Linked DNA regions of Coturnix japonica. The protein of the gene in region 1 interacts with the protein of each later gene in a pairwise test. Links are inferred from orthologs where the notes say so. Each region holds a gene or a part of one and is shown in the gene's direction. Other genes may lie near its edges. The genes, in order: CREB3L1, TSPO, PLP1, FAM3C, SLC35B4, MFSD5 and TMEM11.

Region 1 (4,284 bases):
TTGGGAACTGGGTTGATAGCTCTCTTATCAGAAATGATGAAGCTATCTTGGTCATCCACGCGCATCTGCAGCACCAAATGCCTTACAGCCAGGAAGTCTTATCTGCTGTTGGTTTGAGTCTCTATCAGTCCAAGCGCACCCAGTTGCTGCTTCAGTTTCCTGCTGCAATCAGATTGCAACTAAATCTAAGTATAAAATCAGAGGCAATGGGGCTGAAAGGAGCCTGAGTCACTGCATGGTGCCACATCATGGGGCTGCCTCTGAATCAGACCCACCTATAGGCAAGAGAGATAATAGTGGTCATCCTGCAGCTGCCTGAATGCCCCAGAGATGCTGGTACATCTTCTCCTTAGACCACAGCAGCCTGATCCCTCTGTCATTTGAAGAGAGCCTTCCCATGTTTGCTCAGTTGAGAAACAGTGGTGACAGAGGTGATACCCATGTTTAGTTCAGGACAGGAGGTGGGAGCATCGCCCTCAAAGCCAGAATGATTGCAGAAAACGGCCCTCGTGGGAGAGGGTCCATTCTGTGTAGATGGTTTCCAAACATCATTCCTCCTCATATACATAAGAATATGTATTATGGGAAGAGCAGTACAGCCCCATCCTGGCTGAATTTATGTCTTCGACCCCTTTCACCCAGAGGCTCTTCACACTTGACTGAAACATAAGGTAAAAGTAAATGCAACTGAAAGAACCCATTGTGTGCATGGGCATAAAGCCCTTTGTGTGCAGGAGCAGCATGTGGCCAACACTACGAGGAGCAGCCAAGGTGTGCTCAGGGCTGTGCTCAGATGCATGGGGACACAGAGCCTGTGACAGCCGTGTGTGGGGAACACAGGGTCCTGGCCGTGCCTGCATGTCTGCACTGAGACATTTCCCAATGGGTCTCTACCAGCATTACAGCACAGCTGCCTGACTTCTTCCACACACCCACAGCCAAGAAGCAGTGGGACCCATTATGTGGAGCCACAGAAGCAGGGGAAGATCAACAAAACATCGAGGCTTCTGCACGATCATTCTAAGTGGTTTTCCTGAGTATTGGCTGGAGTAAGGATCAGGGAGGATGGGGATCCATAATCCCATTTATCCTAAGCCACATAATCTTCCCAAAGCTCCTTAATGGTGCCCAGCTCCTTAGTTACTGAGCGGCCGGCACAGCCGAACCCACCTGGGGCACCTCACCGCACCTCACCGCACCGCGCAGCCATGAGACTCTCGGACCCCTCTGTGCGGGTCTGCCCGGCCCGAAGGAAGGAGAGCGCTGCCCTCCGCCTCCGCGTTGCCTTAAGGGGTGTGGGCCCGCCAAGTCCCGCCCGCGGTTCCCCAGCACGGGGCGGGGGCGTGCCGCTACCGGCCGCCGGCGCTGCCCGCCCGGCCCCATCGCAGCGGGGCACTGACAGCTGCCCCGAGCGGGCACCGGCGCGGCGCTCCCCGGCGCTCCCCCGCCCGCGGGCGGCCCGCTCCCACCCGGCCCCGCCGCCCCATCCATGGACCGCTGCCGCCGGCCCTTGGGCGGCGGGACCGTGCCGCCGCTGTGAGCCCGGCCGGGGAGCGGCGGAGCCCCGAGCCGCGGGCACCATGGACAGTATCCTGGAGCCCTTCGCCGCCGAGCGGCTCTTCCCCGCCGCCGGCCCCGGCTTCCTCGACCTGGGCGACTTCAGCGAGGCGGATTTCCTCAGCAATGTGGTAAGGGGCGCTGCCCGGCGGCGGCCAGCCCGGGATGCCCGTCCCGATCTCCCGCTGCCAGCCCGCGGCTCTCGTTCGCCTTGCTTTTTTTTCCGCCTTATTTGCCCTGGCGGCGCGCTCAGGCCCCGGGAAGAAGCGTGCGGGGCGGGGCGGTGGGAGCGCGGCCGGGGGGGCTCCGCTCGAGCAGCGCTGGAGCACGGCGGGACCACGGGACGCGGGGCTGTGAGCCCCCACTACCGGGCAGCGGGACATGGGGTCCCCCCTCCCGTCTGTTTCCCACTTCTTGGGCAGAGCAGCGTCGGAGAGACAAGGCGTCCCCGTCCGGCGATAGGGCTGGGATGGTTTGCTTTAGAGTGCAGGGCGAGAGGAAGAGTTACTTAGGAGGAAGAGCTGCTGCCAGTCCCAAGGAACCAGAGGGGCATTGTTCACCTCTAAGGAAGCTGCCTGGCCTCCCGAGGAGCCCTGCGAGCTCCAAACCCAACAGCTCCCTCCCTCGCTGCCCTGCCTGGGCTACGGGAGCTGTGCCGTCCCGGTGAGCTCTTGCTGCAAATCTGCTGCCCCTCTGCCCTGGGGGAGGAGAGGAAGAGCCCCAGTGCTCGGGTGGTCCGGTGAGATGGGGAGCATCCTCCCTTGTTCCTGTACAGATCTGAGCATCCCTGAGGACATCCCGATAAGGGATGCCAGCACCACAGCACCGCTGCAGGGGGCAGGGAGGGGAGGGCTGTAGCCCTTGGCTAACTCCGCTTCTTCTCTGCTGCACATAAGATAGCCAAAGCCTTTTGCTCTGCCTCCGACGTGGAGACGAAAGTAGAGATGCAGAATTTGCATAGATGTGAAGTGCAGCACACTCGGGGTGTGGAGATGCATTGGGTCTGGGAAAGAGATTACGCAGGCGGCCTCGTCTCCCAGGGGCCTCACCAGCTCCTACTGCAAGGCAGTGCCGTGCCTGGGAGTGGCAGCAGTGGAGCTGTGCAAGGCCCTGTCTGCTCCAAGCAGGTCAGAGCTTCGTGCTTCCCCTATTCACTGTACACCCCTCGTGGGTGCAGCTGTGCTGAACCTGGAGCGCTTTGTGCCAGGACTGCTTATTCTCTTATCTCCGTGATAATACTCTGTCTTGGCACCAGTCCTTTGACCTCTGTGCAACACAGACTGCAAGCAGAAGGCAGGAAAACCCTCACCCGTGTAGACGGTCCCTCCTTGTAGTTCAAACACAACTTGTGCCTGCAAACAGAGCATGAGAAAAAGAAGCCTTTTGTAAGAGTGCCATCTGGTGCCACCTGCCAGGACAGTGTGCTTACCGTGTGCAGTGACCACGGGCAGGAGCAGCCAGTTGTGGCAGCTCTGCTGTTGCTGTCCTCAGCTCACAGTTAGAAAAAGGAACGCTGTGTGGATCTCTCACCTGCTGCCAGCACCGCTGACTTCTGCTGCAGTGTGAGTGTCCAGCAGACACCTTCCCTTCCCTTCCCAGATAAGCAGGGGAGATTCCTTAGCTGCTTCCCACCTACTGAATCTGTAGCTGATACGTGCACCAGAACATAGTGCATCAGCTTCCTTGTTCCTCTGCTGCATGACAACACGGGAAGGATGAATACACTGACATTCTCCTGTTAAGTGCAGCAAACTTCCCAGGATCCAGAGATGTGCTGAGTTGTTTTCACACAGAGCTGTGCAGAGCATCACCGTGCACAATAGCTCACAGAGTTGCCAGTGCCTTTGCTTCATAGATGGGCAAATCTTCCAGATATTGTTCAGCAAGTATTTTTCTTAGAAGAGCCAGGAATTTTGGCCATAAAATGCCTGTATGAGGCTGGTTCTGGGGGTGATTCCTTCTGTTCAGAACAGAAGCAGAAAGAAAGGACGAGTGATGCTCAGTGCAGAGGTTGTGCTCCTTGGTACATGGATTATATGGCCCTGAACCACTCACCTCTGTTGAGCCCTCTCTCTCCTAATAAGTCACCTCCTTTCTTTAGAAATGGTTCTCTGTGTTGTTCATTTGAAATCATGACTGTAGTAAGGATGGAAGTAAGGAAGGAGTTAGGACAGTACCTCCGTACATGTGAACCTCTGTACCTCAAAGATTTCTGTGTGCTTGAAACAGAGAACAAAGTCTGACCTAAGGGGGCTGGCATTCAGAGGAAGCCAGGCAGGTTGTAGGGATGGCTCAGCAGGAGCTTTGGGACATGCAGCAAAGCAATACTGACTGCTGCTCCTGGGATGGACCAGCTCCTGCACTGGGACAGGCTGGCATTCACAGGCTGAGAGGAGGAAAGAAGTGCTGGGGGTACTGGGCAGCCCTGGGCCAGCAGAGTGCATAGGGGGCTGCTAGCTTCAGCAGGAGCATAACAGTATGGACAGATGGGAGCTCAGGCACAGTGGGACCCAGCAGCAGCCTGCTGGCCCTGTGAGGAGCTTGCTGAGAAGGTGGAGCCAGGCTCTTTACATAAGTGCATGGCAGCGCTCGTAAATCAGAACAGGGAAGGTTTAGACTGAGTATAAGGAAACAATTTATCACTGTGAGGACACAGGAGAGGATGAGGCTGCCCAGAGGTGTGGTGGAATCTCCAGCCCTGGAGGTTTCTAAGACAGGTCTGGACAA
Region 2 (4,091 bases), on another chromosome or scaffold:
ATTGCAGGCCAACAAAATAAAATAGGTGGCATTACTTTTGGAGCAGTTTTAATACGTGAAGTTGAAGTAATCAGGTGCATCTCCTGCAGCAGTACCTGTATGTGCCCTGCGATGACCCTGCTATCTGGGAACAGGTAGTTGGAGACCTCGCACACGGGGCTGTCTATGCCCAGTGACTCGCAGTGCCTACGGGCTTCCAGGCAGGCATATTTGTAGTTGGCCTCTCGTCTGCCGATGACTGACAGCATCCCACTGGGGACGGCCTCCGCTGCCGCCTGCATGGCCTCAGCACGCACCTTCACAGCACAGAGTGCTGAGGGGAGAAGGGGACAGGTGAGTGCAGACAGGCAGTTTGCTCACGCTGGGAGTGAGAATCACAGAACTGATAAGGTTGGAAATATCACTACCACCATCCAGCCCAACCATCAACTCATTTCACCGTGCTCACTAACCATGTCCCTCAGTGCCACATCTACACATTTCTTGAACACCTCCAGGGAAAGTAACTCTATCTCCTCCTTGGGCAGCCTGTGCCAATGCATCACCGCTCTTGCAGGTATGTATTTCTTTGTAATATCCAATCTGAACCTCGTAGGTGCAACTTGAGGCAATTACTTAGTGTCCTATAACTAGTTTCTTGGGAGAACAGGTCGACCCCTACCTCACTGCAACAGAGTTGCAGAGAGCAATAAGGTCTCCCCTGAGCCTCCCCCTCTCCAGACTGAACAATCCCAGCTCCCTCAGCTGTTCCTCAAAAGACTTGTGCTCCAGACCCTAAACCAGCTTTGTTGCCCTTCTTTGAACACGCTCCTGGGCCTCAATGTCTTTCTTGTAGTGAGGGGCCCAAAACTGAACACAGTACTTGAGGTACAGCCTCACCAGTGCTGCGTACAGGGGGATGATTCCCTCCCTGCTCCTGCTGGCAGCGCTATTTCTGATACAAGCCAGGGCACCACTGGCCCTCTAGTTCACCCGGGCACACTGCTGGCTGGCGTTCAGGCGGTTATGGACTCCAGTCCCTTCCCAAGGCTGGTGCTTTTAATACGACGTTAGGCCTATCAAAGCAAACCGCGGAAGCAGAAAGCAAAATTGACCCACCTTCCGCGAAGTCCATGGCTCCGGCGAACACCAACGCCGCGAACTCGCCCACGCTGTACCCGGCAGCGGCCACGCAGCTCTCCACCACCTGCACAGACACACGCGGCCGTCAGCGGAAGAGCCGCGGGGGGGAGCCAGTGTAGGAGCCGAGCGGCGGGAGCCACGTCGCGGCCCCGACGGTCGCCGTCGCCTACCTTAGGCTGCAGGTGGTTGAGCTTCTCTACGGCGGCCAGGGAGGCGACGAACACGGCGGGCTGGCAGTGCCGGGTGCGGTCCAGCTCGGCCCGCGGCCCCTCCAGGCAGAGCGAAAGCAGGTCGTAGCCCAGCACCTTCTCGGCCAGGCGGTACATGTCCCGCACGCCGGGGTAGCGCAGCAGCCCGCGGCCCATCCCCACGAACTGGCTGCCCTGCCCGGGGAACAGCAGCACTGTGCCCTCCCGCGGAGACCGCTGCTCCCGCCTCCCCCCCGCCGCCTCTCCCTCGCCCGGCTCCTCGTCCCCCACCGAGCTCTGCAGCAGCTCGCTCAGGCTCGCCGCCCGTTCCCCACCGCCTCGGAGCGAGCTGCCCCGCCGCCGCGCTGCGTCGCGCAGGACGCCGCGCCCGCTGCAGCCAGCGAGCCGCCATGTTGTCGCGGCCCGGCTGCCCATGGCCACCGCCCGCGTTGCCCCGGGAACCGAGCGGCCCCGCCGCCCACTGCTCGACCTGCGCCGCGCCGTTCCGCGGCCCCTCCTCGGGGCGGGCCCCGCTAGCGGGTGGGCCCTCGTTGCAGAGGCGGCGGTGGCGGCGCGAGAGCGGAGCGGAGCAGAGCAGAGGTGAGGGGGGATGCGAGCCCTGGCCGTGGCGGGAGCTGAGGTTGAGCCGCTCCTGGCCCCGGCAGGGGGTGGGGGAGGCGGGGGGGGGGGGGAGGCGGGGAGGCTCGCGTGCCGCGGTGCTGGGAGCCAGAATGGTACGACGACTCCTAATGGGAAGTTTCTTCATGGGCGCCGGGAGGGACTGGGCTTTTTTCTCTTTAGATTTGCAGGTGGTGGCTGTGGAACAAAACGAGGTGCTCAGTATTTGAACGCCCAGCGGCGGGGTTACTTCACAGATAGCGAGACGTGCCACGGCTCAGTTGTAGTCGTGCCGTCATTTTGAGTGGCTGAAGGTTATGAAATGGTACCACTCAGCGCCTCAGGTTGGGCGGGCGGCTCCGCGACGCCGTGCTGCTTAGCTGGGCGGAGAGGAACAGACCCGAGCTGTGCTGAGTGCTGTTGTCTTCCTGATAGGGACGACTTGGCTCGCTTTTCTATCTCTGTGCTGCACCGCTCTCTCGGTTTCCTCGGTTGTTGGGGCTGCGGACCCGTCAGCAAGCAGCTGTGGTACAGAGGGGCCCGTCCTGCTCCTGGGGAGCCCCCAGCTGCTGAGCCCGCACAGAAGCACCGCTCTCCCTTTGGTTCCGCACGAAGGGCGCTGGCCGCGTTGCACAGTGACTGGGGCTTAGCTGTGGGCCGCCAACAGCCCTCCGCTATGGAGGCAGGCCTTGAAGGGGTTCTCTCACACCCCGCTCTGTCTGAAGAACTCCCAGGCCTGCACAGCATCTACATGGGAAATATCTGTGTTTATTACATACACGGATGACGATTGAGAAGCAGTGGCAAAGGAAGATTATCTAAAAGGTGCTTTGTCTCTAAATACAGCCTGTTTAGAGGATCTTATACAAATGTACGTGGGGAAAGTTAGAAGAGATTGAGCAGTGAATGGCAAATTGTCAGCCAGGTGGATCCTGTCCCAGCGGGCAGGGCTGCCTCTCAGTGTGTGGGTCAGATTGTTTCAGCGCATCATGGCTTTGCCATCTGGAAAGGATAAGAGTGCTTTGAGGCAGCAAAGTTCTGTACCACGTGCTGTGACAAAACTTTGTCTTCAGTGCCATGGTTTCCCAGCAGCTAAAGCCACAGCAGACCTAAGAGGTTTATCGCTATCCATCAAGCGTGCACCCCTTAATCCTTTGGGCAGCTATGTGATGTGGAGCCTTTTCCCACTGAGGATGTGCCTGCTGCCTTTCAGACCTGCGTAGAAATGTACTGCCCTCAAAATAATACATTACAGAGGGCAAGTATCTATCCTGGTGGGCCTCACTCCCAACTTCTGCTGCTTTGTCTGCCTCAACGTGCCCAGGACCACAACTCCAGAGCTGTGTGGGTAACTTGGCCCCACTGAGAGATTTTCCTCAGCACTGTTAATGCAATAGCTGTAACTTAAGCGCCATGTGATTGGAAAGCCAGCACAAAGTTACTTAAGGGGATTAGTCAGAGGTTTATCAGAGCAAGGATATAGCACTGCAATGGAAGCAGCTGCCCTCCTCTGTTCCTGCTCTCTGGCAGCTCTTGGGCTGGATAGGGGGAGGCACCCACCTGGCTCTCAGAGAGCTGCTCCTTCACTCTGAAGGGCCTTTAGCAGCTCTGGGTCCTTCTTCACCAGCCTGAGGCATGTTGGCTCATCTATTGCAGTACACGTTGTTCTCCACACCCTGTTCTTTTTTCCAGACAAAGGAGAGGACATGGAAAGCTTCCGCTTCACTTTCTGTACATTGAGCCATCACAGGGAAGCAACTTGCAAAGAGACAGAAGGCGGCAAGCTGTAGTATCGCTAATTTTCCTCTTTATTTCTCCTGGTGCATTACAGAGCTGGAACTATCGCCAGACAGGTCAGCTTTGAATAGCCAGAAGCAGTATTTTAACACTGGTAAAGCAAACTGGCCTGCTGCAGCCAGATTAGGACTAAGCAGAAAATGGGCAGGATGATAAAGAAGACATCACAGGGCAGAGGTGAAGGGAAGGAACAGAAATAAGCTTCTATGAAGTGTGTTGAGGGAGTAAAGATCTCCAGCTGTGGTGGTTTAGCAGCAGAGATCAAAATGTCTGCATGCTGCAGATACCATCCACAGACAGCATGGTTTCTTCAGTATGCAAATCAGTATGCAAAAGTACTGTATAACCAGCTCTCCCTGCAGTGGA
Region 3 (4,036 bases), on another chromosome or scaffold:
GAGGCATCCTCACAGCGAAGGAGCCAGCGGGGACACACAGCCAAGAGGGGATGCTCAGAGCCTGCAGCATGAGGGGGTCCCAAAGGCTTCAGCCAAAATGCAGAAGGAAGGGATGAAATCAGACTGTGGAGCCGCCCCCCTGCAGCATGGGCAGCCCTGGGGGTGGGGGGGCACACGGGAGGGAGATGCTAACGAGCAGTAACCAATTACGGAGATTTTTGAAGGCATTTGGTGCAGAAATCGCAGCCCTGCTTCGTTGCTCACATTATCCCGGATGGCAGAAAGCTGATGCTTCCCCCCAGGGTGTTGAAATAAAATGCAAGATCTTGAATTTCTGCAGAAAGAGAAAGAAGGGCTCATCGTTTTTTTCCCCATAACATCATTTTTCCCTCTGGTGCCTGGCTCCATCCAGGCAATGCAGTCCCTTATCAGTGAGCATCAGCAGCCCCGCAGATGTGGTTTCTGAAGAGCACTGGGGGCACTGTGTGGTGCCCTGGGGACCCCCAGCCCAGCAGTGTTCCCAGCCCCAGGGACAGCCAGGCCCTGCCACAGCGCAGCCTGGCACAAAGCAGGGCATTGAGGGACACAGCGGGGCTTTGTCTGCCTGCTGAGAAGGGCCCTGTTGCCCTCTGCAGGCGTCCCCAGCCCTGTGCTGATCCCCCATGGGGGGCACCCATGGGAGATGGGCACCCCAAGGAGCTGACCCCCTCTGCTTCCCCATCCCTGGATGTGTCCCCATCCCTTGAGGACCCCATGGAGGACTCCCTCTGGGGACTGTGCCCATTGGAGCTCTGTCTCTTGTCCCACATAGAGCCCAAAAGGATGGGGACAGTGAGAGAAGAACTGCCGTGAAAGCAAGGAGAGCAGAATTCCCATCAGAACACCCACTCTGGAGCACTGAACGCAGGTGTCTGACACTTAGGGAGCAAGAAGGCAACAGAGGGGCATCACTGCATCCCACAGATCCCACATTGCTACAACTCACACCTATAGGCACTCACACCCCAGCCAGGCCTGGGGGTCCCCCTCCCACTGCACAGTGGGTGCCCTGTGACCCCCCCCCAGCCCCTTTATCCCTTTTAGAAAAGCTTTCCCTCCCCCTCCCCACCCCAAGCCCTGAAGTTCTCTGCTTTGCCCACACACAGAACGGCTGGCAGCCAAGGGGTGCAGCTGGGGGGGGCCGGGGCGGGGAGGGACGGGGGCTTGTCCCTTTAAGGGGGGTGGCTGTCACTCAGAGAGCCCTTTTCTTTGCTGGCGAGTGGGACAGGCACCCAGAGGGGACAATACAGGGTGAGGGACTGCCAGGGGAGGCGAGGGCTGCAGACAGAGCCGAGCGCACGGGGAGCTGAGCGAGTCGGGTGCCATGGGTGAGTATGGGGACGTGGGACAGCTGTCACAGCTGTGGGGGCCTGGAGCAGAGAGCCCGAGCATTTCCCCTGGCACTGGCAGGCTGTGCAGGTGATGTTCCCATGGGTGGCAGGGGAGGAAGCAGGGATGGCATTTTCCTTTCCCATGTGGCTTTCTGTCCCCTCCTGGGACAGACCCCATCCCTCCGGGAGGGTAGAGGAGCATGAGCTCAACCCAGGGCTGCAGGGAGAGCGGGGCACTGAGACCCATCACAGCTTGTGCCACTTGTGTGCCTGCAGCTCCATGCCTCAGTTTCCCCATCGATAAAATGATGTCATCCTGCTGGGTGCTCTGATGGGGGTCTCACAGCTGCCACCCTCCTCCTGCCCGCAGCACTTTGTGCAACAAGGCCCATGATGGTGCTGCACAAGGGCCCTTTTTTCTCTCCCCTTTTCTCCTCCTGCACTTTTCCATCTCTTTCCCAAAGCTGGAGGGCACACCAGGCCCTGCTGCATCCTGGTCCCCACCTGCCATCTGCCAGCAACTGCCCCCAGGTTCCCAGCAGGGAGAGAAGAAATACTAAAACCCTCAAGTCAGCTTGGTACCATCATCGTGCTGCAACGCATGCAGCTATCCATCCCTGTAGGACCTGCAGGGATCAGGGTGCACTGCTGGGAGGGGAAGGCATAAGGACCACTCCCTGGCCCCGTTGTGTCCAAGGCAAACAGGCGGGGGGGTCTCTGTGCTCCCCCACAGCGCTGCCTTTGTTCCCTGTTTGCTCTTTGGACAATCCCCCATTGTCCTCGGTGCCACCACGCACCCTTGCTCTGTGTGGGGAGGGGGGGACGTTGCTGGCCAGGACCCCAAGGCTGCCTTGTCCTTGCAAGGAGGAGATGATAGGCTCTGTAGGGTCCGTGGGGGGAGCATGGGTTTGGGACTGCTTCCAGCACTCGGAGCGCTTTAGGAACTCAGTGCACACCCGCCGGGGAGGGAGTGGAGCTGCCCCCAAGCTGTGCCCGCTCTCTGCACCCCAACCTCATCCCAGGTTCTGTAAGCACCACGGCACCATGGCAGCCCAAATAGAAACCCCTAGCACTGCGGCAGCGGGGAGCCCATTAGCAGCTTGTTGGTTTGCTCCCACTGGCATCACGCTGCATCACCCCGCATCTCCGTCTCACTCAACTGCCAGCTCCCCAGCACCCTGCACTGCTGCTCTTGTAGCACCACCACAAATAGTTTCAGCATTTTTCCCTTTATCTCCCTAAAATCCCCCCTTGTGGCCCTGCAGGTCTGTTGGAGTGCTGTGCCCGCTGCCTCATCGGGGCACCCTTCGCCTCTCTGGTCGCCACCGGGCTCTGCTTCTTTGGGGTGGCACTGTTCTGTGGCTGTGGGCACGAAGCCCTCACCGGCACCGAGCAGCTCATTGAGACCTACTTCTCCAAGAACTACCAGGACTACGAGTATCTCATCGATGTGTAAGTAACGGCGCGGGGCTCCTCGCGTCTCCATTGCGCGTGATGTGCCGCTGTCACCCGGCTCTGCTGCCACCCACTGGGGCCGACACCACGCAGGCTGTGCTCAGCCCTGGGCAGCCTCACACCGGCGCTGTTGCCCCGTGGCAGATGCTCCATTTCTTTTCACCCTGTTCTTATCTGACCCACGCCAGGTGCTGTGGGGTGCACAGGACAGACGCACCAGGTAGGTATGGGGGCAGCAGGATGTCCTGCTTAGCAAGGTGCTGCTCCCCCTCATCAGCTCCACTTGGGGACAGCAGCTTTGTCCCCACAGGAGGTGACACCCCACTCCAGCTCCCCCAGGGGTGTGTTGGGCTTGGGGAGGGTAAGTGGGGCTGCACACGGGGCTGTGTGCCGCAGCACTGCCTGAGCATCCCCACCGCTCCTCTCCCCATAGCATCCACGCTTTTCAGTACGTCATCTATGGCACAGCCTCCTTCTTCTTCCTCTATGGAGCCCTGCTGCTGGCTGAAGGCTTCTACACCACCGGCGCCGTCCGGCAAATCTTCGGGGACTACCGGACCACCATCTGCGGCAAGGGCCTCAGCGCAACGGTAACTGGGGGCCCGAAAGGGAGGGGAGCGCGAGGCCCCCAGCGAGCTCACTCTTTGCAGCGGGTGTGTCAGTGTTTGGGAAAGTGGCTAGGACATCCTGACAAGGTGATCTTAACCGGGGTTTGGCACCCCATCGCGCGCCTGCAGCGGGTTTGGCGTTGGCTGAAGGGCAGGAGATGGCGACCGCCCGGGGGTCGGGGTGTACCGAGGGGAAGCGCAGCCTGACAGCCCTCCCCGAGGCCAACTGTGTGCCCAAAGCAGCCAATTTGACCATGGCATTTGCCCCCAAACAAATTGCTCTGTGCTTAGGGATCACCCGGCAGAGCCGCAAGCATCCCTGCAAGGGCAGTGCATGCTGCCACTATGGCTGTCCTGCATGGTGCCCGAAGACTGGTGCCCTAGTGCTGGGAATGGCCTTGGGGAGCAGAGGGGAATGGCTGCGGTTCCCTTTGGGTTCGGTTGGGGTGGCACCATGGAGGGAGGGCAGCAGAGCGGCGTTGCTCAGCTCAGGGGTTTTGCAGCTGCTCTCCCGCAGAGGTCAAACCCTGCTGGCCGCAGAAATCCCCTGGTATGGGAAGGGGCACCATTGTGCCACAGCTGGTCAGTCCCACGTGTGTGTGG
Region 4 (3,669 bases), on another chromosome or scaffold:
TGTGTATTTAGGTCATTCTTTTAACCTAAGAGAAGTATTTAGGCTTCAACTTGAGTCTTTAAATAATGGTTATGTTAAAGATAGACTTTTCTTAGTTGCTTAGGGAATTGCTAACATTATTTGAGTTATATATATAAATTCTCAAAAGATGGGGTTCTTAGTGGTTTTATACTATTTGCTGCAGATAATATCAAAGAGCAGAGCTTATTAGGTCAGCTGATTACAGAAACTAGCCTTATCTGATTTTGAAAGATAGATCTTTCCTAATATTGACCGACTTAAATTGTATTTAATCAGATTGAAGCTGAATGGTGCATTGAACAATGAAAGCTTTGAGAATGTGTATTTTTTATTTTTTTTTCCCAAGGCTTAATGAGGAAGCACGGAAACTGATTGCTGAACTAGGAAGCACATCCATCACTAACCTTGGCTTTAGAGACAATTGGGTCTTCTGTGGAGGAAAAGGAATTAAAACTAAAAGTCCCTTTGAGCAGGTCTGTGACTTCTTATGTTCTGTAACTTATGTTATGTTCTACAACCTCAGCAGCTTCCATTAATGGAGACATAGCCTGTTTTATACCACGAGTTTACTCAGAATGGGTATCCACTGCAATAGTGGCACACGGTGTTATCTTCAGTTTTATTTCTTTTCTGTTCTTTCTTTTAAATGTGCAACGGGGTGGTAAGTCTTACTTTGGTAGGTGTTAGTATCCCAGTAACCAGATGAATTACCTTAAGTGAATTCAGTGAAACTGAGAATTCAAAACTTAATGCTGAAGAGTCATATTTTGGGCCCACTAATCTCTGACAAACAGGTTGTTAAGGTGTTGGTTAAACTTACTTCTGTCAGGAATTTTTGCTGCCGTAGAAGAACTTGTGAAGTGAAATACGTTCCCATACTTAAGTAGCTGCAATTTAACATGTGTTGTTGTCTCCTTTAATTACCAGTAAAGGTAACTTTGTACTTGGTGAGCAAGTGTGTAGGACTAGTGCAGAAGCAGTGGCAGACTCTTTAGGTAGTAATGCTTTGTCTGATAATAGAGAATGTTTTCTCTATTACGGCGTACTTGCTTTTAGCATACGCTTGCCTGAACAATTTACTGTACTGAGGATTTGTTATATTTGATGATCTTTTAAAAAGCTCAAGAGGATACTACTGATGTCTTCTCTTTTTCTGTCTTAATAAGAAGTACCTTTCATGCTGTGACTTAAAGCAACATGGTAGAAGACTTCATATTAACAGTCAATTAATACTTTCTATTTGCAGCATATAAAGAACAACAAGGACACCAACAAATACGAAGGCTGGCCAGAAGTTGTTGAGATGGAAGGCTGTATCCCTCAGAAGCAAGACTAAATCTACAGAAAAGGAAAGGAAGAAAATGCACTTTCTGCTATTATTAGGGAGAGGGCTATGAAGGAGACTGTACTGTAAATAATATTTTTAAAGCATGCAGCCATCCTGTCAGTGTGTGCATGAGCACTGACATCTTGAATATTGGGATTATTTATTGCTAACACACATACAGTCCTTTTTGTAAATATGTTCAAATTAAAAGGAACATAAAGTACTTTCTAAACAGATTTCTTAAAAGCACAGTATTTAGTTTGCCTATGGTGAGTATCTTGTAGACCGACTGGCTAATAAATTGCATATGCCAATAATAAACAGATCTGGACAAATGTTGTACTGTCTTCTAACATTGCTGTGAGAATGTAACCTTTGTGGAAAACATAGAGATAAGTTAATAAAGAGCTTTAATTTTTTTTATCTTCTGCCTTTTTAATGGCAGCATCACTTTTTATTGAAGCTAATTTGGTTATTCTAATACCGAGTGCTAAAAAAATTTATTTTGTAGTCTCCCACCAAAACTGGATAATCTGCAAAGAAGGAAAACATGATAGTGAAATACAGATATACCATGAAAAGCACAATATAAGTTTTTTTTTTTACTAAGGGAAGAGCAAAGTAAATGTGTAAATAGTGTATGTGATACTTAAAAGCAGCTTGGAAGGATTGTTGCTCAGCTTGAAAACTGTACTTCCTGTGTAGAAGAGACTCGGCATGTTAAACAACAGTACTCAAACAAGTGACTTGTTCATTTTTTTTTTGGTAACAGTTTTTGTACTGCTGCTTAACCTCTGAGTCTACTTATGGCTATTCAGCCCTGCTGGCTAGTCACATAGTACATATGTGTGTGGTGGGGTGCCTTCCTGCTGTAGTCGTAAACCTAGAAATAAATTTTCTATTGCAAAGAACCCAGGGGAGAGCATTCTGCCTTCTAGTAAGAGTTGTCCAGGGTACAGTATTATGAGTCTTTACTGCCTGTGTTACACCTAATGTGGGGTCATATGTGCTTACAGTGATAGTAGAGAAAGCATCGCATCTTTGGTTATGCAATCTATAGTATTCGAACTTAAGTGATGATGCATCTTCATTTTTTTTCAATGCAAAAAAATTAAAGGACCAAGTTGAAGTGGCCTTATTCTTCAGCTCATGTCAGAGCTGTCAGAAAACATAGCTCCATTTTTATGTAGGGCCAGCTTGAACTTTCACTGAAAGTAAGTTAGCATGTTATAAATTAAATTGTTGGTATAGGAAAAAAAAAAATAGGGGATGTTACAGAATTGATTGTAATCTCTTGGAGTTTTATGTCATGATTTCTAGTTTAATCTTCAGAAACTTCCAGCTAGTACCATGGGACTACAGCCACAAAGGATTTTTCAGGAACCCACAGTGTAAGTGGCACTCAAATGTTCCTATTGTTGATAGGTCTTCTGAAATGAACTCAATTGTATGCACTAAAAAACAAGTCAAGCAATATTGGGAATTGCTTCTCAAGTCAAATAACCTGTGATGTCAAACTAAGACTGGACTCTGAGCTGTTCTGTACGTTTAAGTAGTTTGTTAAATAATGTGGCTTTCACTGAAGTTTAATGTAGAGCAGCAATAAAAGATCCTTATGTGGTGAAATTGTTTTTGTTAAATCTTTCAGATTCTCTTGTTTAGGAGGATGTGTCAAAATCATATGTATCTTTTACATCAAATGAGTAAAACACCTCGTTTCTATCCATTCGATAATAAAAGTTATTTCATAACATCAGGTTATTGTGAAAAACTAATTGCAAAGTCCTGGAATTTTCACATGAATAAATTATTTGTAAGTAAGCTGGTATTGGTTATGCTGCTATCTAAGATAATAGTAGAAGAATTTGGAAGATACTTAGTAGAGACTTAAAGGTGGGAGAAGTGGTTGGTTTGGTGAGGGCAGGGTGGGGGCTGCACTGAGGAAAGCTTTATTGTTTCCTTGCACTACTATCTTCTATGGAATGTAGTGGAGGACATAAAGGAAGCCTGGCTGTAGTTCTAGCTTTTGTCTTTAGATTTGTGCCGCCTTCTTTTTTTCTGGCCATCTGAAGCAAGCATGAACAGTATGAAAACCTGTTAAAGCTGAATCTGCCACAAAATATTTAATTGCTGCTTTTAAAGCAATAAGCAGTTTAATAATTGTTCTTAAATCATTTAGTTCTTGTGAAATCTCCCTCTCTTTCCCCCATTCTCTAACTCATATCATCACAGCTGCATCCTTTCATTATATTAAATCATTCAGTTATACAAATGAGCTCGTTTTAGCCATGAAAATGAGAACAGAAAGGAGATCCTGTGAT
Region 5 (3,500 bases), on another chromosome or scaffold:
AGACCCACCTGGCACTCAGATCCACACAGGCAGCCCTGTGAGCTGCTTCAAATGATAGTGGTGGTTTCAGCTATGTGTAGTCATCTGACTCCAGAAGTTTCCTTTGGAGGTGCAGCCCAGGAGGTGAATTTTATAAAGGGGGGGGAGGTCTGGCTTTCTGAATTTCCCCTGCTGAGAAGCAGACTGATGAAATTCACAGCCTGTATAGCTGGGCTGTAGTAGATCCTTCTTCATCAGGGGGAAGTTCTTCACAGAGAGAGTTGGTGAGGTGCTGGAACAGCTGCACAGAGAGGCTGTGGATGCCCCGTCCATCCCTAGAGGTGTTCAAGGGCAGGTTTGATGGGGCGTTGGGCAGCCTGGGCTGGTATTCAATGTGGAGTTTGGTGGCAGGGGGTTGGTGCTTCATGATCCTTGAGGTCCCTTCCAACCCAAGCCATTCTGTGATTACATGATCCCATCTTCCCCCTTTGCTTCCTGGAAGGAGGAGGGTTTTTTTGCTGCTCACAGAGCATGTTGAAAACAGGCAATATCCCTGGGGCAGAAATCCAAAGGATCACATTCTGTGAGGGTAGAGCAGTGAAGCTCGAATCCACAGAGATGTGTGAGGCTGATTTTTCAGTAAGAAGTGAGTGGATTCACATGAATTACTAACATCATGTCTTTCTTTACCTTTTCTTTCCAGCATGCGTTACCACTCCCTGGCTTTATTCTCCTGGCCCCAAACATCTACCACCATGCAGTTCTCTTCAGCCAGTCTGGTGAGTGTTGCATGGATGGGAGCCTTGTTCTTGTACCTTTCTGTCCTCTGGATGAAGCTTTTGTCATTCATGGACAAAAGAGACATTCTCTCTCCTTGCATCTTCTCTTTGTATCAAACCTTGCTCCCTCCTGGCTCACACTTTGTGTGCCTACAGCAGATGCATTTTTCTTGAGCTAATTGCTGCTTAGAGACCTGTTTGTCCTTCCTCCCCACAGAGCCATTCCAGATCCCAGTGATTGGGCTGACCATGCCAATCATGTGGTTCTACCTCCTCATGAACGTCATCACTCAGTATCCTTCCAATGTGCAGCTTGAGACAAGCTCTGGAGATAGAAGCACGATAGGAGAGGTGGAATAGGGTGGGGATGCCGAACCCTTAATGCCTCCCCTGCTTTTTGGGAGCTGATCTTGGAAAATACAGAGTGGAATTCAACCTGGAACTTAAGGGTATTTTCCAGGTTGGCTGAAATCTGCCACCGTCTCCCCAGGGATAGGCTGGCTGGTAAAAGCTTACAGTGGTTCTGCCAGCCGTTAGAAAGGATAACAGCCATTCATGCCCATGGCAGCAAGGGCAGATCTGCAAGTCTGATGAAGCCAAGATACCCTGGAAAACGGGGCCCTTCAGTTACCAATTTCTTCACTGCTGACAAGTTAGTGTGCCTTATAGCTGCTCATGCTCCTCCATAAGACCAATTCAAAGCCTTTCCTTTGCCCTCTTAGGGAGGAAAGGGGACTTCTCCATCTGTAACTAGTAGTAGATCAGAAGAAGTCTGATTTTAGTTTCCCTTTGCCCCACTGCAAGAACTGCAAACCCTGTTTGCCATTAACTTTTTGCTAGCACATCAGCTCTGGCTACTCTGTAGTGGAGGAGTTTTGCTTTCCCACAGTGCAGGCTGAAGGGGATGTTGAGAATCCAGGGGTTTCCCTGAGGGTCAGAGCACAGCTGAGCTGAGAAGGGACATTTATTCTCTCTGTAACCAAACTGGGGTTATCCACTGCCCAAACCTTTGCATTTTTTGAGGCTAGGAGAACCTCCCTTTGTAGCTCTGATGCTCCCTAACCTCCCACCCACCCAGATACGTCTGCATTCGGGGCGTCTTCATCCTCACCACGGAGTGCACCTCCCTCACCGTCACGTTGGTGGTGACGCTGCGCAAGTTCGTCAGCCTCATCTTCTCCATCCTCTACTTCCGTAACCCCTTCACGGCCTGGCACTGGTTGGGCACTGCCTTCGTCTTTGTGGGGACTCTCATGTACACAGAGGTGTGGAACAGCCTCGGGCCCCTCCTGGCTCGCTGGAGGAAGAGGCCGAAGGCGGAATAGCAGCTGGGGGACACTCTGGAGGGACCTTTTTATTGTTTTATAGAGCAGAGCAGCAGGAAATCTCCCTGAAAGGGGGTTCCTTTTTATAACACAGGGGAGGTGTTGGCTGTGCCAAGCTCCTGGGAAACGTGGAGCCTCTGCTGGGAACCTGCCTGGAATAATGGATCGTGGTGGGAGGATATGGTTACTTTTGAGATGGTGCATTTTGTTATGCAACTCCTTCCCTTTTAAATAATTTTAAAGCTGACCCGGTTCTTGATTAGGATCCCAACCTTGTGCTTCTCTGCAGTCCTCTCAGCTTCATTGAGCTGAACCCTGAGCCCATTTGGTGCCGTCCTTTAACAGCCAGGTTACTGTAGTGGATGGCTGAGCCCCAGAGAGCCACCAGACGCTGCTGTTTATGGAGCAGGTTTTTAGTTACACTGGAAGTGCCAGGCCTGGCTTTTAATTTGAGTCCTTGTTGCCTGATCATGCTGGGAGGATATTGGTTACACCCCATAGCTTCCACCTTCTTCAGTCTGCTTGGTAGACTACTAAAGAGTGGCTTTGGGGACTTACCTCCAAGCCACCAAGCTCCTGTCACTAAATATCGTGATATTGCACTGCTACCTAATGAGGTGGAGGGTGTTAGGGGTTCCTGCTTCTGGTAGAACTTAGTGCAGGTCACTTTTCAGCCACATCTTCCTCCTTTTTTCCATCATCCTAAGTGTGGCCACAGGTGAATTTGCTACCTACTGCTGCAGTGAGTCGTGCTGTGTGCCTGGGACACTTCAGTGTAAAATCATGGAGCAATTTGGCTTGGGAAGGACCTTTTATGAACCCCCCCCCCCAACTAGAAAGGTTGCCTATAGCCTCATCCAACCTGGTCTTGAGCACTTTGAAGGATGGGGCCTCCACGGCTTCTCTGGGTTGTCTATTCCAGTGCCTCCCCATGCTCAGAGTAAAGAATTTCCTTCTAACACCGAATATAACTCTTACTTTAGAACGGTTACCCCTTGCTCTATCACTACACGCCTCAGGGTACAAACATTGCCAAGGAATTTCAGAAGGGCCAGAACAGCTGAGCTTAATTCTGTTGCTGAGGAGGGGCTGGTTTTCCCGTCCCTTCAGCTGGCTCTCCCCTTTTCTTTCCTTCTTCCATTTCTTGGGGGTCAGCTTCACTCATGACATTTCTATGCATCCACCTGGTGCAGGACAGGTGTCCCATAGCATCACCTCTTGCATGACATCTGGAAAACTTGCAAGAGCTTTGGATGTATGTCTTCCAGCAAGGCGAAGAGCAGCGCTGTTCTAGGAGCTGGTCATGGTTGGGCAGAGCAAAGGTTGGTGAGCAGCCTTGTCTTTCTTGGTCTTGGAGCAGGAAGGGAGCACATGCATGGATTTTTTTGTCTTGATTTTCCTTTAGCACCGTGGTTAC
Region 6 (3,966 bases), on another chromosome or scaffold:
CGGGGCTGCCCCGCGTCCAGTGTTTCACCCCCCCCCCGTGCCCACCCACCCCTATGGCCCCTGTGTCCCCTTCCCTCATGTCTCTGCCCCATGTCCTCAATGTTCCTTCTGTCCCCATATCCCCCGTGGTGTCCCCGTGTCTCTCCATGTCCCCGTCTTCCGTGTCTCCAATTATACCTGAAGTCCCCACGGCCCTTCATATCCCCCCATATCCTTCATATCCCCCCCATATCCTCCATATCCCCCATATCCCCCCCGTATCCCACATATCCCCCCGTCTCCATCACTCCACACTTTATTGTCCCCACGTCCCGCTCCCCCTCCCAGGGGCGCCCCGCGTGGAGGGGTCACACGAGGACGATGGGGTGGAGGATGGGATGAAGGGGGTGGGGACAGCAGCCTCCCTGCCCGGCCGCGTGCACGCGTGGGCACACCCACGTGAACCCCCCCGCGCTGCTATCACCCCCCCCCCCCAATACTGAGCCCCCCCCACTGAGCCGGCTTTGGGCTATAAATACATAAATACCGGCGGGGCACGCGGGGGGGGGGTGGGAGGCAGCACCATGGGGCTGGCGTGGCATGGACAGCGGCTGCACAACCCCCCCTGTCCCCTGTGCGCTCCCCCAGAGTTCCAAAAACCCCTGCTCCACCCCCACATATTGCCTCCCCCCTGTTTGCCCCCCCCCCCCCCTGTTGCCCCCCCTCCCTTCTTGCTACCCCGGGTCCACCTCCCCTGTTTGTTTTTTTTCCCCCCCCCTTCTGTCACACCCATAATTGCGCCATGCCCCTATTGCCACTCCTTCCTGCTGCACCCCCCGACGGTCCCCCCCTGCTGCCCCCTCCCGGCTAGCCCCCCCTCGGTCCCCCTCCCTTTTCCCCCCCTTCTGTCACAACCCCATATTGTGCCGCCCTTACTGCCGCCTCTTCCCCTGCTGCCCCCCCCCCTGCTGCGCCCCACCTCCCTTGTCCCCTCCCGTGGTCTAGCCCCCCTCGGCTGCTGCGCCATCCTCCACTGTTGTTCCCCCCCCCGGCTGCCGTTCTCCCTGTTGCCCCCCCCCCCGTCCGTTCCCGGTGCTGTTCCCCCTCGGGGTCTGCCCCCAGTCCCCCCCCGCCCCGCCGCCCCCGGCCCCGCATCAAGTGACGGCCCCCCCCCAACCCCACCCCGTGGGCAGGTGAGTGAGGGAAACCGAGGCACGGGGCGGAGGGGGGGGATTTGCACGAGAACCGGGGCGTTTGGTTCAGGATGCGCATTTGTACGAGGGCCGGGGCAGCTGCGCGGCTTCTGGGGGCAGATGCACGAGGTGTTTGCCCCGGGCTGGGGTATTTGCACGAGGACCGGGGCAATTGCACGGCGCCGGGCAAGGCCCCTTCACGTGACGTGCGCCAAGATGGCGGCGCCCATGGCGGTGATGGGCGGAAGCGGAAGTGGGCGTGCGGAAGTGGGTGTGCGGAGGCGGCGGGGCGCGCCGCCGCTTCCCCCATTGAGGAGCAGGTGGGGCTGGGGGGGCTGTTGGGCGGTATATGGGGCGATATATGGGGCGATATATGGGGCTCTGTGAGGCGCTATGAGGGTTTGGGGGGGTGTCTCTGTGGGGGTGCGGGGAGATGCTGTGTGTGCGGGCGGGGAGGGGGGGGGTGTCTCTTTTAGGGTCTCTTTGATGTGCTTTGGGTTTTGGGCGCTCTGTGGGGCTGCGTGTGTCCTGTGGGGCTGTATATGGCACTGAGGGGTGAGGAGCGTCTGTGGGGCCAGGAGGGGTTCGATGGGTGGGAGCCGCGCTGTGGGAGCGGCCCCTCTGTGGGGCAGGAATAGGAGAGAGGTTCTAGGGATACGTGGGGCTGAGTGTGGGGCCGGGCTGGGTCAGTGTGTGAGGCGTGTAGGGCTGGGGGGACATATAGAGACCAGGTTGGGAACCTGCACAGGGGACACGTAGGGCTGAGCTGGTGGCTGGTATGTGGGGTCAGCGAGGGCAACGTGTAGGGCTGCAGTGTTGGGGATCAGTGCAGGGGATGGTTGGGGCTGAGGTGGGAGTCAGGGCTGGGTGTGTGTGGGGAGGGGGATGTGTGGGGCAAGCTGCAGGGATGACAAGGGCAACGTGGGGTCTCTGTGGGCTGTGGAACCCACAGGGCCGCCCTGCCCTCCATCTCCCTGGCCCTGCTCCCTCTGTCTGCTGACCCCCCGCCCGTGTCCCGCAGCCCCGTGATGCCCGGCCCCACGCCATGCTGCTCGCTGCCTACACATCCCTGGCTGTGCTGCTGGCGGCCGCGCTGGGCCTGGAGCTGTTCTCCCGCCGCACGTCCAGCCCCGCCACCAACCCGGCCTTCGCCCGCTTCCAGCAGCGCTTCCTGCGCGCCTACCTGCCCGCGCTGGCGGCCGACTGGCTGCAGGGCCCCTACCTGTACAAGCTGTACCACCACTACCACTTCGTGGAGGGGCAGATCGCCATCCTCTATGTCTGCGGCTTCGCCTCGGCCGTGCTGCTGGGCCCCCCCGCCGTCTCGCTGGTGGATCGCCTGGGCCGACGCGCGTCCTGCGTGCTGTTCTCGCTGAGCTGCGCCGCCTGCTGCCTCACCAAGCTGTCCCGGGACTACCTGGTGCTGGCTGCCGGCCGCGTGCTGGGCGGGCTGGCCACCGCGCTGCTCTTCTCTGCCTATGAGGCATGGTACGTGCATGAGCACGTGGAGCGGCACGACTTCCCCGCTGAGTGGCTGGCCGGCACCTTCGCGCGGGTGGCGTTCTGGAACAATGTGCTGGCCGTGGGGGCTGGCGTGGTGGCCACGGCCCTGGCTGAGTGGCTGGGGATGGGCCCGGTGGCTCCGTTCGTGGCGGCCATCCCGCTGCTGGCGATGGCGGCCGTGCTGGCACTGAAGGACTGGGAGGAGAACCACGGGCCGCCGCGCGCGCTGGCCAAGACATGCGGGGATGGGCTGCGCTGCCTGCTGGCCGACGGGCGCGTGCTGCTGCTGGGCACCGTGCAGGCGCTGTTCGAGAGCGTCGTCTACATCTTCATCTTCCTCTGGACGCCGGTGCTGGACCCACACGGGCCGCCGCTGGGCATCGTCTTCTCCAGCTTCATGGCAGCCAGCATGCTGGGCTCGGCGCTGCAGCGCGTGGCCGTGTCGGCGCGGTACCGCCTGCAGCCCGTGCACCTGCTGGCGCTGGCCGTGCTGCTGGCCTTCCTCTCGCTTTTCATGCTCACGTTTTCAACCGTGCCCGGGCAGGAGAGACCGTCTGAGTCCTTCCTGGCCTTTCTGCTGCTGGAGCTGGCCTGTGGGCTCTACTTCCCCTCCATGGGTTTTCTGCGGCGCAAAGTGATCCCTGAGAAGGAGCGTGCCGGCGTGCTGCACTGGTTCCGAGTGCCGCTCAACCTGCTGGCCTGCCTGGGGCTGCTGCTGCTGCACGGCAGTGACCATCGCAGCGGCACACGCAGCATCTTTGCTCTGTGTGCTGCGCTGATGCTGCTGGCGCTGCTCGCCGTCGGCCGCCTCTTCACTGTTGGCCGCCATGACCCAGAGCTGCGGCTGCCGCCCCCCCAGGGACCCCCCGAGAGCCCTGAGCTGTGAGAGTGGTGCTGGTGGTGGTGGGGAAGTATGGCACAGTGGGAGCAGTGCATACCTCTGCAGCTATTTATGCTCTGTAAAGGAAATAAAGTGTTTCCGTAGATCCCCCACCTTTTCTGAGGGGGAGGGAATAAGGTGGCATTTGACATTTGCTGTTTGGCACCGTGTTTTCATGCCATCCACGTTCAGCACCACAATGGGGCACTGCAGCCCCCAGGCCCTCAATGAGTGCCCATGTACAGGGTGGGTGTCCCCCTGCTGCCTGGGGTCACACGTGTGCCCCCCCCCCCCCCCCACGGTGTTTGTTGCGGGGGGGGTGACCTCATGGCAGTGCAGACTTTGCTCATCACTGCCCAAAGCACCAGGAACGTCAGTGCTGGGTGTGCAGCACTGTACCCCATTGTGTGG
Region 7 (4,241 bases), on another chromosome or scaffold:
CTGCACTCCTTAGCTGGGAAGCACTGCCCCTCAGGCTCCCAGTCAGCGTTATTTACATGGCTTGCTATAGATGAGTGCAAGCCACAGAAGCTGAGGCTGGAATTGCAAGAGGCAAAAATCCCAAGGCTGCTGGATTGGTGGGCAGAAGGGGCACTGCTGCTTTTCAGTCATGATTTGACCCAGTATAACAAGTGACATGTGGCCCTTGGGTTGCAATTTGAGCCTCAGGGAGCTTGGCATTAGCTCGTCTGGAGGGACAGTGCAGTGGTTGGGGTTATAGCACAAAGCTGGGCTGTTGCTAGTAACACGCTCTGTTTACATTCCACATTCCAGAAGGTCTGATGCTCCGACCTGCCCCAGCAACACCGCACGCTCCACTGCACTGGGAACGTTTCCCAATCACCTCCTGCTCATGCAAATGCACTATTTACCTCCATTGAAAGAGCTGAACCCCAAATGATGGCTGAGAGAGCAGAGTGCAGGATGGTCCTGCGGTTTGGAAGCACAGCTTCACAGTGATGGGACGATGTAGGCAGTGATGGGTTCGCTCTATTTAGTTCCATTACCTCACTTGGAAATAATGTTGTCAAAATGAGGCATTTTCTAGGGAAGGGAGATGCAGAGACAACGCCGCTCTTCTGAATCGCGCTGTCAGTCACAGCACTGTCACGGGTTACACGGCCCCTCCGATATGTTCCCTCCTGCTTCTCAGAGGTTTGGTGGCTGCTGGGGAAAACAGAGAGAGCAGGATGTTAGAAATGAATGGGGAACGGCACAGGGAGGGGCTGATGCTTCCCAGTGTGTGCTGATGGCGGCACAGAGTCCCTGAGAGAATGGCTGGTTGTAAGGGAAGGCCATTGAATGGGAGGAAGGCTCCTGATGGGGCACAGAGGCACCACAAACACCCACAGCTCGATGGCAGCGAGGCCTGCTCTATGAGACCTGCTCTATGAGACCTGCTCTATGAGACCTGCACTGTGAGACCTGCACTGTGAGACCTGCACTGTGAGACCTGCACTATGGGACCTGCACTATGAGACCTGCACTGTGAGACCTGCACTGTGAGACCTGCACTGTGAGACCTGCACTGTGAGACCCCCGCCCATGCCGCCCCCCTGCTGCTGCCCTCCTGGCGGTGCCGCGTTGCAGGCCGGGACCATGGATGACGCTCCTCCCCCGCCCTCCCGGCTCCGCTCAGCTCTGTTGGCTGCTCTCAGCAGTCGGTCGGTCGGTCGGTGGCCGTGGGGTCACTTTGTGCTTCGCAGCTCCGCACTAACGTCAGGAGCCCCCGGCCCGCTCCGGCCCGACCCCTCCGCTAACACAGGGGACTACGCATCCCAGAGGCCTAATCGGCCGTACGGCGGCGCGGTGCACTGTGGGAGTTGTAGTCCTCGCCTGGGCGCGCCCCTCTGTCGCTGAGCGGTTCCGGCGGCCGCACGCACTGCATTTCCCGTGGGGCAGCGCGGCCGGCCTCGCGGCGGAGACATTTGCGAGTGCAGTGTGTCCAAGATGGCGGCGTGGGGAAGGAGGCGCGCTGGGCCCGGCAGCACCAACAGCGGCGGCCGGGAGAGGTGAGGCCGCGAGCGGGGCGGGGGACGGGGCGCAGGTCGGGGTATGAGGGGAGCGGGGGGAGCGGGCTGCGGCCAGCGGGGATACAAGAGACCGTGAGGCGAGGGCGGGGGCGGCGCTGGGGAGACAGCGGGGCGGCCGGGGAGCGGGGCTGTGGAGGGGAAGGAGGGCGGACAGGGAGACTCGTAATGCGGGCGGGAAGGTCGGAGCGGCCATCGATGTGTGCGAACGGCGGGGCGGGACGGGACGGAGGAGGGAGGAGGCACCGGGGAGACGGACCCGTGTGGGTGGGTGTGAGGGCCAGGCCGCCAGGGTGACCTCCTGAGAACCGCGCTCAGGGTTTGTGCTGCTTCGGGGCTGGGAACAGCGCTGGGATTTGCTGAATCCCGGCTGAAAGGAGGAAGGAAGGAGCTGAGGGAGCTGCTCGCCGAGCTGCTTTAAAGTCGGTCCTTGCAGTCGGTTGAGCCCTCCTCAATCTCGCTGAGCACCGTGCTGCCTCGCGTATTGTGCTCCCTGCTCTGCCCTGGGGTGGCTGATGTCACCGGAGCAGCTGCGTGTTCATTGTGAGGAGCAGAGAATCACAGCATTCCCCGAGGTTTGCTTTTGTCCCTCTGCCATACCCGGAGACCGATATCCCTTTGGTTTTTATCGTTATGGTATTGAAATTAGGGTTTGGTTTCTTTTGTTCCTTTTTTGTAATCCGAGAGGTTTGTATTTGATGGTGCTGAGCAGAGCCACGAGCAGCCCTTAAAATCACAGCGCCAATGTGATACACAGAAAGGCTGCCTCTGTTCAGGGAGTTTGCAAGTGATTGAATTGGAAGAGCTGATGGAATGACTCCCTCAGCACGGCTTATATAAACAACTCCGAATGCTGCCGAGCACGGTGGCGCGGTGGTAGAGCTGTCTGCACCCCTGCTGGCACCTACCCCAGTGCTGAGCACACGAGGTGAGGAGATCTCACATTGTAGGCCTGCCCTGCCAAGGGAGGTGAAGAACAAATACGGGAAAGAGCGCTTGACCTCAGTGAAAATGATTCTTCCAGGAAGAAAATGGATGCAGGCTTAAAAGTGAGTTGGCACCCTGTGACTTTGTGAACCATACGGTGTTCCCATAGTACAATGCCATTGTAGTTTGTGATGATCTTTAAGCTGTGATTCCTCTCGATCTTGTGATCAAAAAATACTTATTCATAAACATGAGGTGCTTACTTCATGAACCTCCAGCATCCCTTATTTTGCCTTTTACAATGAGAAATATGTGGCTAAGTGCACAAGAGCACAAAGTGACACACGGTGGGGCAGCAGGTGATCTGTGTAAACGTTCCACCATGGAGCAATGTTTCACAATCCTTATCAGCAGGCAGTGCTTCTGTTAGGTGTCATCCCATACAGACCTGCCAGGAGATGCTTTTAATAGGTGCTGGGTGACGTCAGCTAAGGAGCATGCCTGCCTTGTGATTGCAGAGCTGCAGGTGCCTGTGACTGAGCCACTGCCTGGATCAGGGGTTAATTCTCCATCACACCTACTGGGCTGGTTTGGCTGCTGGCAGTGCAGGTTGTGGACATGGTGGCTCTGACAGACCCGATGACGTCAAATGATGACGTAGGCTTACTGTAAGATGAATATGGTTTTCTTACAGGATTCTTGTCCTGAGATGCATTCCTTTCAACTGAGTGTGCTAATCCAGCTTTCCTCATAAACGAGCTGCTTCAAGGTGTTTTTGGAGCTGTCAGCCAGCTAGTCTGAAAAGACATCAGTGTGTTGGGAGGTGGTGGCAGAAGAATAAGATACTGTCTGCTCCAAGGAGGTTTCACCAGCTTTCACTTAAAAGTAAATAAATTCCTTTTAAAAAGTCCAGCTGCTGCCTGTGGAAATTTGTATCCCTCCCTCAATGACTTCGTTGATACAAAGAAGTCTGTAATTGGTCAGAAAGTGCTTTTTTCAATAGGACTAAGTGTAAGTACGTTCATTTCAAAGGATATTGGCTGTGAACTCCAGCTGGCTCTGTGGGGGTGGTAGGGAAAAACCTGAAGAGAAGTGACTAAATATTTGTTTTTCTTCATTCTGGATAGACTCTTTAATAGAGACTATCTGAAGGGGATTGTTAATTTGTGCAGCAAAACAACTTTTGATACAGAACAGACACTGAATTGTACTTGGGGTTTTTTGTATAAATTGCAGCGTGATGACCGCCAGCACGCAGACAAAATGCCATTTGTTCTGCTTGGAGATGTGCTAACAAACTGCAGAAAGAAAGGCTCTAATGGCATCGCTGCTGGTCGTGCTGGTCCCTCTGCACCCTTAAGGAGCTCTCTCCTTTCACTACCTGCGCTGCTCAGATTTCTGGTACTCTGTTTGCTTACAGCAATGATTGACCCGTTTCCATTAGCCTGGCTAATCATTAGTTGGCTTAAAAATGACGTCTCTTTTTGCTCTAGTGGCTAGAGTTTCTTTTGTTATGGCTTGGTGATGTTTCCCTTCGTGTTGCCTTCCCTTGCCAAGATCACACTTCTGTTCTCCCATTCTCTCCTATTTGTATTTAAGGCACAACCTTTGATTGGAGGTCCTGTGTAACCGCTGTGCTTTTCCTGCTCTTCATCCACTTCAGTGCAGCCATCATCAGCCTGTTCAATTGGCCTTGAAGCCTGATAGCAATGGTTAATGGCCTGA

What was found.
Region 2: the proteins of CREB3L1 (region 1) and TSPO interact in binary tests that used the Homo sapiens proteins (3 or more experiments, as listed by UniProt). The two-hybrid records come from large-scale screens. The link is inferred for Coturnix japonica from reciprocal best matches to the Homo sapiens genes CREB3L1 and TSPO.
Region 3: the proteins of CREB3L1 (region 1) and PLP1 interact in binary tests that used the Homo sapiens proteins (3 or more experiments, as listed by UniProt). The two-hybrid records come from large-scale screens. The link is inferred for Coturnix japonica from reciprocal best matches to the Homo sapiens genes CREB3L1 and PLP1.
Region 4: the proteins of CREB3L1 (region 1) and FAM3C interact in binary tests that used the Homo sapiens proteins (3 or more experiments, as listed by UniProt). The two-hybrid records come from large-scale screens. The link is inferred for Coturnix japonica from reciprocal best matches to the Homo sapiens genes CREB3L1 and FAM3C.
Region 5: the proteins of CREB3L1 (region 1) and SLC35B4 interact in binary tests that used the Homo sapiens proteins (3 or more experiments, as listed by UniProt). The two-hybrid records come from large-scale screens. The link is inferred for Coturnix japonica from reciprocal best matches to the Homo sapiens genes CREB3L1 and SLC35B4.
Region 6: the proteins of CREB3L1 (region 1) and MFSD5 interact in binary tests that used the Homo sapiens proteins (3 or more experiments, as listed by UniProt). The two-hybrid records come from large-scale screens. The link is inferred for Coturnix japonica from reciprocal best matches to the Homo sapiens genes CREB3L1 and SLC61A1.
Region 7: the proteins of CREB3L1 (region 1) and TMEM11 interact in binary tests that used the Homo sapiens proteins (3 or more experiments, as listed by UniProt). The two-hybrid records come from large-scale screens. The link is inferred for Coturnix japonica from reciprocal best matches to the Homo sapiens genes CREB3L1 and TMEM11.

The regions. Positions count from the first base shown.
Region 1 is NC_029520.1:21,207,819-21,212,102, reverse strand, and holds the start of CREB3L1 (cyclic AMP-responsive element-binding protein 3-like protein 1), read left to right. Parts: upstream 1-1,484; 5' UTR 1,485-1,580; coding exon 1,581-1,688; intron 1,689-4,284.
Region 2 is NC_029516.1:62,978,335-62,982,425, forward strand, and holds the start of TSPO (translocator protein), read left to right. Parts: upstream 1-1,291; 5' UTR 1,292-1,292; coding exon of another isoform or gene 1,293-1,720; coding exon 1,721-1,910; intron 1,911-4,091. Other genes in the region: MCAT (malonyl-CoA-acyl carrier protein transacylase, mitochondrial), read right to left, coding at 96-313, 1,099-1,186, 1,293-1,745. UniProt on the Homo sapiens protein: Can bind protoporphyrin IX and may play a role in the transport of porphyrins and heme. Promotes the transport of cholesterol across mitochondrial membranes and may play a role in lipid metabolism, but its precise physiological role is controversial.
Region 3 is NC_029519.1:1,950,539-1,954,574, reverse strand, and holds the start of PLP1 (myelin proteolipid protein), read left to right. Parts: upstream 1-1,236; 5' UTR 1,237-1,363; coding exon 1,364-1,367; intron 1,368-2,635; coding exon 2,636-2,822; intron 2,823-3,258; coding exon 3,259-3,520; intron 3,521-4,036.
Region 4 is NC_029516.1:19,139,823-19,143,491, reverse strand, and holds the end of FAM3C (protein FAM3C), read left to right. Parts: intron 1-367; coding exon 368-494; intron 495-1,267; coding exon 1,268-1,357; 3' UTR 1,358-3,169; downstream 3,170-3,669. UniProt on the Homo sapiens protein: May be involved in retinal laminar formation. Promotes epithelial to mesenchymal transition.
Region 5 is NC_029516.1:1,329,018-1,332,517, forward strand, and holds part of SLC35B4 (UDP-xylose and UDP-N-acetylglucosamine transporter), read left to right. Parts: intron 1-682; coding exon 683-758; intron 759-975; coding exon 976-1,051; intron 1,052-1,836; coding exon 1,837-2,083; 3' UTR 2,084-3,500. UniProt on the Homo sapiens protein: Antiporter that transports nucleotide sugars across the endoplasmic reticulum (ER) membrane in exchange for another nucleotide sugar.
Region 6 is NW_015439867.1:573,703-577,668, forward strand, and holds MFSD5 (molybdate-anion transporter), read left to right. Parts: upstream 1-1,166; 5' UTR 1,167-1,243; coding exon 1,244-1,492; intron 1,493-2,193; coding exon 2,194-3,561; 3' UTR 3,562-3,706; downstream 3,707-3,966. UniProt on the Homo sapiens protein: Mediates high-affinity intracellular uptake of the rare oligo-element molybdenum.
Region 7 is NC_029529.1:4,563,938-4,568,178, forward strand, and holds the start of TMEM11 (transmembrane protein 11, mitochondrial), read left to right. Parts: upstream 1-1,441; 5' UTR 1,442-1,509; coding exon 1,510-1,571; intron 1,572-2,539; exon of another isoform or gene 2,540-2,638; intron 2,639-2,667; exon of another isoform or gene 2,668-3,125; intron 3,126-3,210; exon of another isoform or gene 3,211-4,241. UniProt on the Homo sapiens protein: Plays a role in mitochondrial morphogenesis.